Linked DNA regions of Neodiprion lecontei. The protein of the gene in region 1 purifies or fractionates together with the protein of each later gene. This does not show direct contact. Links are inferred from orthologs where the notes say so. Each region holds a gene or a part of one and is shown on either strand. Other genes may lie near its edges.

Evidence for each region. Proteins that work in one complex are often made in the same cells at the same time.
Region 2: the proteins of ribonuclease 3 (region 1) and microprocessor complex subunit DGCR8 purify together in Drosophila melanogaster (affinity purification with western blotting; 4 studies listed by BioGRID, with this or other methods). This does not show direct contact. The link is inferred for Neodiprion lecontei from reciprocal best matches to the Drosophila melanogaster genes drosha and pasha.

The regions. Positions count from the first base shown.
Region 1 is NC_060263.1:8,281,818-8,287,348, reverse strand, and holds the start of ribonuclease 3, read right to left. Parts: upstream 2,954-5,531; 5' UTR 2,615-2,953; coding exon 1,620-2,614; intron 1,453-1,619; coding exon 1,209-1,452; intron 1,041-1,208; coding exon 849-1,040; intron 615-848; coding exon 257-614; intron 152-256; coding exon 1-151.
Region 2 is NC_060262.1:28,355,457-28,360,987, forward strand, and holds the start of microprocessor complex subunit DGCR8, read right to left. Parts: upstream 3,857-5,531; 5' UTR 3,709-3,856; coding exon 3,676-3,708; exon of another isoform or gene 3,453-3,675; intron 3,428-3,452; exon of another isoform or gene 2,757-3,427; intron 2,162-2,756; coding exon 1,675-2,161; intron 1,546-1,674; coding exon 1,462-1,545; intron 1,140-1,461; coding exon 746-1,139; intron 620-745; coding exon 342-619; intron 112-341; coding exon 1-111. Other genes in the region: barrier-to-autointegration factor, read left to right, coding at 5,023-5,148, 5,311-5,457.

The DNA.
Region 1 (5,531 bases):
ACTTCATTCATAGACAATATTTCCTGCCCATTGTCCGGCAAATCTCTGACAAATCTGGGCATAAAATGAAATTGATCACAACCGGCTGTATCTTGAGCAGCACGTAGATCAAAATCTACCAATTCCAGTATCTGCTGGAACAGGTAATCCTCTAAAAAATATAAAATGATTAGAAAAATAACTACGCCCGTATATTCCAGTCGAATTACGTGAAATTGACAACTCTTTGAAATTATTAAGCAATTGCCACACTTACGAAATAAATCCAGTTCTCTGATGGTAAAATTTTCTGGCAATTTCTCATCAATGTATAGAATTGTGTATTCGATATTGAAGCGGATAACTTTACAGGTTGGTAATTTGACAAGAGGGAAATGAGAGAGCATTGAAAATCCCTCAAATATAAATTCGTGTTCGTCGTGTTTGATAATGGTTGGAGTCTTGGTTAAAAAATTTGTTGGCGGACTGATAGTTATGCGGTAATGGTACAATTTATCTGCATTGTTCGAATTCAATTCACACTTTTTAATGACACCCTCGCCAGCATAAATACCATGCCGAATACCGGATCTTCTCGATTTGGCACTGCATCTACAAAGAGGGCCGTCATTCATCTGAAACAGTAATTTAAATATAATCACTTGTAAAATTTATTACAATCAGACCAAAGTGAACAATGGGACTGAATATTTTAATTAAAGAAAAAAATCGAGTGTTTTTAAAATCATCAATAATTATGAACTTATCTTTAAGTATTAATAGACATTACTTGCTGTTGGCCACCTTGTATGAACTGTAATTTTAAATTCTCTTGTTCGGGATTATTAAAGATAAGTTAAAAATACTACCTCCCCAGGGTCATTGAACCACATTTCTGGATGCAGACGTTGTGGATGCTGTTTTTTTGCCATTAATTCTTCCATTGTTCGGTCATCTTCATCCATTGAAGTGTCGCTGTCTGATGACGAACTACTACAAGCTTCAGTTTTATGCCTGCACAATCTGGCTCTGTTTTTTCTTGGTGGTGGCTCATATGGTGGCTGTAGAATACGAAACCATCAAATTTATCTGAACGACGGACCAATCAGAGTCACGCATCTCATAAACAACAGGTAATAGTTTTTATGTGAATGAAGAAAATGAGATAAAATGGAGAAGTATATTATTACTGCCAACAAAACTGAAAAATGTTTTTGTCTACTACAAACCTGCAATGCTCTAGCTGTACCGGACCTATCAACTAATAACTTCTTGAAAATATCACATAATTCCATCAATTTTGGAGTGCCTGTCATAATTTTTGGTTTCAATTCATCACGTGCGTAGTAGAGGTCGGCTGGTGCTGTGCGAGTCCACACCTTTCTCTCGTGTTCTATTATTCCTTCCGGTCCCATCGCAGACAGCTCATCCAATTTCTTTTCCATGTCTTTACTTGTCGCACAATAATTCCGCCTATTAAATGAAAAACCTTTATTGTATTAAAAAGTCGTAGTGAATCGTAAGAGGCTGCAGTCATGTGAACGTAGACCATCACTTTCAAAATATATTTGCTTTTAAGCTTTGTCACATCTTGAAGGAGGTCACGCTACACTAAGCTAGCAAAACCCAAAGTCAAGTACCTGTATTTTTCTAAAAGCTGATCTCTTTCGCTCAACGATTTCTGGTTCATAGGAAAATTGCTAATCTCATTCGATATGGTGGAAACATGCGACTCCCTAGATCGTGACCTCTTTCTACTCCGACTTTCGAAACTAGTTTTTCCCAACTCCATACTCGCTCGCGAGCTGTATCTGGAACTGCGTTCCCTCCTTTTATACATTGACCGCTTGTCGCTCTCCTCGTTGTAGTAATTTCCTCTGGCATTTGATTTGTCCCTTCCATGTCTCTCATATTTAGCTTTATTCTCTTCGTGACGTGATCTCTCGTAGCCTCTATTACCACTGCTTAAGGAGTGACTATCAGAACTTCGAGATCTCCTGCTATCTGTTCCGTGGTGCTGACTCGGAACGTCTGATGCTAAATGTTGCGTAACACCAGGCCCACTGACATTACCTCTCCACGAACTTCTCGACGAAGATTTCTGCCCAGTATATTGACAAAAATTCTTGGCATCTTGATCCGACTGTGACTGTGATGATCCTTGTTTATTCCAGCCAGCATTGTGGTTGTCTTGATACGGCTTCCAACCCGATGCTGCGTCCGTCTGATTCCACTTGGCGTTAGCGTTGTTAAGAATTTTCAAATTCCATGTGTAATTATCATACCCTCCTAACATTGATGGGTGAAAGTTTGGCGGCTGGCAATTTGTAGTGTTGTACATTGAATTTGAAGGATTTGGAATCGGGCAAGATTGATGGTGTATGAATGCACTGTTTGGCGCGTAGCTTGGATAAGTTCGAGGCCTACCTCCAGGTAATTGTTGTTGTTGAACGACGTCAGCCAGCTTATTTTCAGCAATTGATGGCGGTGGCATATTGTACGATGGAGGAGGCTGACTTAAATTTGGCGGAGGAAAATTGGGAGGAGGAACTTGATAGTAACCAACATTCTGAACTGCCGGCTGTCCGGTTCCCCAGTAAAAGGGTGGGCCGGAGTTGATCGGTGGTGTTGCCATGACGCATGTATTTATGTCCACACTGTATTCTCTACTTCTTCTGTCATTAGATAATCCTTTTACAATTTCAGTGGTATGAACTTTCAACGGTATTCATGGTATAGTGGGGTAAGAGGTACCATGTTGTGTGTATAATAAAATATTGTACCTATATTTCCTTCCCTATTCAGATTCTATAGTACTATACATGGATAATTTATCACATCAACCGAACATCATCTCATTTCCTTGGTGTATTCAATCACTTTTCCTATATTACGTTTTTAATTATGGTTATTTACCGTTACGAAGCACTTGCATTTTTATAACCTAACAGTTTAACACTTTCGAACGAGACTGTACTACTGCGGCCGTTTTGCCCAGTAACCACGAGTGTCGCTCTTATCGCGGGATTCGGACTGTGTGAGAGAGACAGAAACGGCAATTTTTTTTTTCTTTTTTTTCTTGATACTTGGAGAGATAGAAAAAAGCTTCTTGAAACTTCGAGTGTATTTTAACACACATTTGAAAAGTATGAGCAACAATTTTTATCGTCCAACTGTCGCAGAAAAGCAGCGTTATTAGCTGACCCGTTAACTGAAGAATATATCTTTAGTCAACGGCTGACCATCGAAAGGCCTACCCGCTTGAGTCTGGAATCGGCACGAAAAATGAAGTGCGTATTTCTTGTTTGAAATGAGAAAACTAAAATCATTCTACATCATATCATATCATCGTACATCATACATCATACTTCGTACATGGTATTAAAGTTCGAAACAAAAGTTTGGATGTTAGGATGTTCAGAAAGTGACGTCACTCAAAATTTTTTTTCTCTTGACGTCATCGAGCTGAAATCAGCTAGCCGAATTCCTCAGTGTGGAAACAACCGCGCAGTAGAGCGGATGTGTGAAAATCGCGCTCCGCAGATTTCGAGTACCGGGTTCTCTACCTCCTGGGTCCTGCGCTCCGAGTCCGCTTCCTGGTGCAACTCGAGTTTCAGGACAAGCCCTCCATGGTTTCTATGCTCCAGGTCCGCTACCTGGTGAAACTCGACTTCCAGGATAAGTGTTCCGTAGTTTCTGCGGAGCAGGTACGCTACCTGGTGAAATTCGACTTCCAGGACGAGCGCTCCGTGATTTCTGCACTCTAGGTATTCTACCTGGTGAAACTCAACTTCCAGGACAAGCGCTCCGTGATTTCTGCGCTCCGGATCCGCTGTCTGGTGAAACTCGACTTCAGGGACAAGCGCTCCGTAGTTTATGCGCACAAGGTCAACTACCTGGTGAAACTTGACTTCCAAGAGAAGCGCTCCGTAGTTCTTGCGCTCCAAAGCCGCTGTCTGGTGAAACTCGACTTCAGAGACAAGAGCTCCGTAGTTTCTGCACATAAGGTGTACTACCTGGTGAACCTTGACTTCCAGTACAAGTGCTCTGTGATTTCTGCGCTCCAGAGTAGTATAGCAAGGAGAGTTCTGCGTAGAAACACCTTCCTTACCGACCGAGCCGACCAGTCCGCCTATACATTCTCCCCAGACTCAAACCCTTTTCCGCTCCGCGCAGCCCAGACGCAAACCCTTGAAAGTTACTCCCACTCTCACAAGATCAAATGTGCTCTGCCGACCGTTCGTCGGTAAGAAAATCTCCCGAATGACCATGATCGTCGGTAAAAAATCCTCCAAATGACCATGATTGTCGGTGAAAATGCCAAAAAATCCTCCAAATGACCATGATTGTTGGTGAAAAATCCTCCAAATGACCATGATCGTCGGTAAAAAATGCCTGAAATTGTCGTGGTGTTACCCCTTGTAGGATAAGTTGTATTCTTTGTCGGTAAAGAAAATCATACTCATCGAGCGGGATCGATAACTGCATTACCGAGCGCACTCCGTGAATCCTCAGGCGTTCGAGCGGTCCCCGTGGATCCTCGAACGTACGACCGGGAATCCTGGCGTGTATCAGGTTTTGAAAGCTTCCAGAAGGTTCGAGAAGATTCTCACGGCCTTGAACGAATTTTAGACAAACAATGCGTTCGGCAAGTTTCGACTTGACGGCGAGCGGCCTGCGGACAACGGATTGCAGTGCGACGTTGAGTTCGTGAGCCCTGTGAAGAAGCCGCCTGTGTGTGTGTGTGTGTGTGTGTGTGTGTGTGTGTGTGTGTGTGTGTGTGTGTGTGTGTGTGTGTGTGTGTGTGTGTGTGTGTGTTCCGCGGTGGTTGGCGGTGGTTGGAGGTGGTCGGAGGTCGACGAGGAGGAGGACGAGGAAGACTAGGAGAAGAAGGTGACTGAGGATTTGTGCTCGGTGAGTAAAACACTTTTATAATATTTGATGGCAATTGTAATTATATTTCATCTAAAATATTTCAAACTTGTCATGTTTACATTAAATTATTTGAATTCATTTTTCGCGCAAGCACAAATTCGGTAGATATAAATGTGCTAATAAAATTTATTATATTATTAATTAATTAATTAATTATATTAATCCTTACACAATATTCTTAATGTGTTCCTATACTGAGAATATTTATTACTATTCCAGGTGTAACCCGAGGTGGTTGGAGGTGGTCGAGCTGGACGGGGTGGAGGACGAGGATTCGTGCTCGGTGAGTTTAACATTTTTACAATATTTGACGAAGTAGAATCAGCATCAGGAGTAGGATCAGGGGAAGATGTAGAAATAGGAGTAGAAGTAGGAGTAGTGGTAGGAATAGGACTCGGAGTAGGAATATGAGTAGAAGTAGGAATAGTAGGAGTTAGAGTGGGATTAGGAGTAGGAGTAGGAGTAGGAGCAGAAGTAGGTAGGGCGGGGTGGGACGTGAGAGGGGCGGGGAGTGGCGGGAAGGGGATATTGTCATATCAAGTTATCAGTAATAAGCAATTGCGGGTAAAATATTAGCTTACTTTTGTAAGTATTTATGAATATAGCCTCTATGAATA
Region 2 (5,531 bases), on another chromosome or scaffold:
GTGTTTTGCGGGCTGCATTGGCTTTTGCTTGTTTTTTGCTGCTACCGAAACCACTGCCATATTCCATTTCATTTATGCAAACCACTGCTGAGTATGGCGTCGACGCATTTTCTACAAATTAATGTTTTACTTTTTATTTGTGTATTGGCAGGATAAAATTATTTGAGAAACGTGAAAAACTGTTCGATTTATATGCCGCTTTTGCATATTTAAGCATATTTTATTCACAATCAAATAAACCGCTGATATTTATTTATAATACCTCGTAAACAATCAAAAATAATCATTCACAGCAGGACAAATGAGGATCCTTCCAATAAAAAAGAAGATAAAGGTCTCACCTAACTCCTTAAATTTATAAGTTGGCTGCTTCTTCAGAGCATGTTGTACATATTCATGCAGAATACACACATAACTTTTTCCAGACGGATTCATAATCCAGTGTTTTGGAGGCCTTTGTCCCCCACTATCATCACCTGCAATTGTACTATTGTTCCCAGATACTCCAGCTCCACCAACTGGAAAGGTTATTAATTTGGTGCCATCAGGTAATGTGGGCCGTTCCAGCTGCTTGCGATGCTTCTTGTTCTTTGTAAACTTTCTTCGTGCTGACCACGACCTACATGACAAATTTTCAGAACATGTTCAAGATTGTTATCCATGAAAATCAACCATTGCTTCTGAACGTTTCATCTTGGCCAAATAGAATGTAAAGTAAAAGCTGAGTGAAAATATTTAGACGTACTGAAATCTCATGACTTTAATTGCTTTGAAGCGAAACAAAGCTTGACAGTAGTTTCTGAGTTGTTCACTGTCTAGAGAATGTGCTGCCCTATTTTCTTGAATAGTTTCAATTTTAGCACTGGGTAAGCTACACGTCTCTGCAGCAGGTTCTTTTTCTCTTTCCTTTCTTCTCTTTTCTTCTTCTTTTTCTTCCTCCTGCAATGCTCTTCTGTACTGCAAGCAGGGTACAGCACTGACAGGTACTTCATGCTTACGCACACTACCTGGTCCAAGGAAATATGGTTTAGCTAATGTACAAACACGACTCTGCTTGTGCAAGTATAACGGAAGGCCACTGTTGTGGGTCACTTGAACCCACCCTTCTGGTAGAACGTCAAAGTGATTGTGACCAATTTCTGAAAATTTAACATACATTTTTATATAATATCAATCTTGTAGTACTTTTGGATCAAAGAAAATAGAAAAATCTTATCCAGGTTTCAGAGGATCAAAGTAATCAAGTCCTTGCTGATTGAAACAACACTTGAGAAATAGGCAAGATGTGTTACATCAGTTTTTGAAAAGTTCCAAAGATATACATATAGTCAATGCCTCTTTAAAACATTACTTTTTTTTACTTCATGACCTTGATAATAAGCTAAGTATGCTTTTAGTAATTAGAATTTTGCTTCAATGATGTATGAATGTTAACAGATTTATTCAATTATAATATCGTACCATCTAAAACCAATTTTTCTTTTTCCTCGTACGGCATTGCGTCTGATTTTTTTCTACGCTTTCCTTTAAATTCGTCAGGCAAACCTGCAAAAAATAACTAGATATTAGTAATGTATATTCACAGTGGCAGTTCTGACTCACATTAGGTGATACTTCTGATGTAAAGCATTCATTTAAGTGAAAACTTGGCAGTCAATAAAATTGTGAACTAACCCTCTTCGAGCATGGCTTCTATTTCTTCATCTGGCACATCAGAATCCATACTATCAGTTGATTCTGTCTCAGAATCAGAGCCACCTTGATCTGGGTGTCTTTCCAAATCATCGAGAACATCAAAATGTCTCAATTCATCATTGGTACAAGGATCATGTCCACTAAGATTTGAATCATTGTCGTTACTCTGGTCATAACCATTTTGTACATTCTGGCTGCTATGTTTCGAGAAATCGCTGTCTTGTTCGAAATTCTCTCGATTAATGTTGTAATTTGAATCAGATCTAAGAACAGTTGTAAAATTCATGCTGTCATCCTCGTCTGATTGCACATCCAGGTTATTCTTGAATGGGCATTCCACAGGTTTTCCCTCTTCCATATTTGGCAAATTTGCATCTATAGTACTGACCTCCTCATCTAATCTCAATATCTTGGGAGGGCTCTCATTGTCAGACATGATGCCAGGTTTCAAGTGTTTCCCAATATGCTAGGAGATCAAATTAAGATGCTACAGACATGAAGTAGTGATATAATGGTGGTGAATGCAGCGTACACACGGAACTGTGGCATGTGGCAAAATTATTAATGTTTAAGTTCAAGGAAAGTATCGAAACGATCAATCAGTGAAATAGACAAAGCTGCATTATGCTCTACCTTGGATCTATCCAACACAAATATTACAAGAATACTAATTTGGTTGTTATAAAATATCCAGAAAATTGATTTCTAAATCTTGGTAAATGAACAATGGTAATTTTCATACCTATTAATGAAAAAATGAAAATGAAAATGATTCATCATATTTTACATAAAGTGCCCTTATTTCTCATCAATATGTATTATATATATATATATATTGTATGTGCGTGCATGTGTATTTATGTGTGTAATATATATATTTATGAGACATAAGGGTGCTTTATTGATTAGTCGTATATATATATATACACACTGATTTATATATATATGTATGTATGTACATACGCCCATAGAAGAGTTGGATAAATTTTTTTTAAATATTTATATAGAGTATAGATATATAGGTATGCATAATATAACTTAGGCAGAATAATAACATTTACTGTGTTGTAATTATTGCATGTGGATTCAATTCAAGCGTGTTGTTTGGCTGCACCACTTTCACCAATGACACCAAAGTCCAATCAATTTGGAGCCATTCAAGAAGTGGCAACGAAAATTGGACATTTGCATTGATGTTAGCAGTTTGTAGCCCGGTATATATCCACAACAAAATGCTAGACGATTGAATGACCAGAGGCGAAATAAACTGTAGAAGTTGATTGATGATTTCAGCATTGTGTCAGCTTGTTAGCCCCAGGACTAGACAGAGACAACATAGAAAAATTGTTTCCGATACTAGTCGGGGCTAGCTGCTGGCTATTTATCAGTAGTCATTTCACATGGACCAAAGTGTGACAAGTATCTATGGCAAACGAGTTAGTTTTTTTAAATATGTCTTTTAAAAAATGCTGAGCGGAGGAGTTTAGGTAACTCTGATCACAGATAAACTTGACATCGAAGTCAATTTCTGGCCAGATTACAAATCAGATCCTCTCAAAGAATCAGAGTATTTACATTGCCATATTTGTTAAAATTCTCTTAGACGAACAATATGCGTTGTCACAACTCTTTGCAACCATCAATTGCATTGTTTATCAGGAAAAAATCTGAATTATACTACTACAATACGATTGCGTCCAATCAGCCCATACTTTTGATACACAATCGTGATAAATTAAAATTACATATCGCAATACCTGATTTATCGGTTATCGATTTCAAGCAGATAGATTCGCACTTCTAAGCCACGAATTACTCGTACAGCGGTATAATCTCAACTTTCATTTCTCCCAACTTGTCTATATTTTACATCTTATACACGGACGCCATCTTTTTATACGCTCCGTCGTGATCCCATGGCTACTATGAAAACTATACAAGGAGTCACAAAGAGCACTACGTTACGTTAATTTTTTGTACCTCGCTAGTGTTCTCTTTGAAGGGGAGTGTCATTTGCAGGGATGCTCAAGATCGACTAATCGATCACACACACTTGTCGACGCCATCGACGCCTTTGTGAACACGAAATATTTAAAAATAAAAAATCGCCGCTAACTAGGTGCCATGGTCATAGGCATATAAGAAATGTCTATGGCCATGGTGCAGCTCAGCCAGTGTTGCCAACCGTACGGTCAGCACCGTATTTATACGGTAATTTTGCCTTCTGTACGGACATAACGGTCCTGCTTGACTGTACGCTAAATGTATGTACGGTCCTGGAAAAATTCTAAGAATTTAAGTTATTTTTGGACTCTCCTCTAATATCGCAAAAGAATCAGGTACGGAAGTATAAAGAAACTGTCCGAGTAATTCACATTTCTGGTTATATGTTTTTAATTATTGATACAAAAATAAAGAAGATAATATTTTCTCCAAATTCCCAGCAACTCCTTCGTGTAATTGAAAAATTCACAATCTTTATCGTTAGTTTGAAATATTCTTGAACGTAACAATGTCAATAATTTGGTTAAATCCTGTCTGGTCCTTGAGAAAAGGAACAAAATGAACAAAATCTTGGTCATTTTACGACCATAAAATATAAACCACAAAAATGTACTCCGTGAAATCTTTGTATACGGTTGTAAATTCAAAGTACGGTCCATTTTCACATTGGGTACGACCTATGGCCACCAGAGGGTTGGTAACGCAGCCACAGCAGCGGCGTGGCTTATGGTCAGGGTGGTGGCTTGGGCTCAGCTTGGCTAAGTAACTTTGTAGTTCAAGGTTGATTAATGCGGGTCAGTAATTTTGTTGGTGTATCAATACTAATCAGTTGAGAAAAAAGAACAAAAAAATAATCAAATTTGAAGAAGAACCTATTTATCAGTGATTGACAAAGTTTGGCTCAGTTTAGCCGAAGCAAGCGGACCTAGAAAATTTTTAATCAAACGTTCCAGTGCTGAATAGCTACATATAAATCACACTACACGCTCAGGATGTATGTAAATTAATATCATATAGTATTTCCCGCAACAATATTAAACCTGATATTTTGATATTATTACTCTTTGAATCGTAGTTGAAACACCGCATTGCGCCCGTGCGACACTTCTTGATCAGTTTCTGTTGGTCTCTGAATGATTCTGAGGATTTCGTATTTTTACAAAGTAGTCTTGATTATAGACTTCTGAAATTATTCACGAAGTGAACCGACATGTTTATCTTAGCTACAAAATTTGTGAATCCCAGTTGTGAAAATATTGGTTACATGTTACAATACTAGCCACCTATTGATTGAAATTATTATGTTAAAGCACAGCTAGCAACATGTCCAGCACATCGCAAAAGCACAGAAACTTCGTAGCTGAACCAATGGGAGAAAAGCCGGTGACTGAACTTGCTGGTGTCGGTGAAGTTTTAGGCAAAAGATTGGAGGCGGCTGGTTTTGATAAGGTTTGTGCAACAATTGTAATCCATGATTGTCACGTATTTGGTTAACTACACGTGGTTACATTTACCATACATATAGCCTCGAAATTGTTACTGAAGAAGACATCACTTTATACATCGTAGTAACAAATTTTCAACTTCTAATTTGTATGAAATTTCGCACAGGCTTATGTTGTTCTTGGGCAATATTTGGTTCTGAAGAAGGATAAAGAGTTGTTTCAAGAATGGATGAAAGATACATGCAGCGCAAATACAAAACAGTCTCAAGATTGCTACCAGTGCCTTTGTGATTGGTGTGAAGAGTTCTTGTAAATATTAGGCAAAATGAGTGACATTTTTTTACTTTTGTAAATGATTGAAATTGGTTTTTTTTTTGTTTTTTTTTT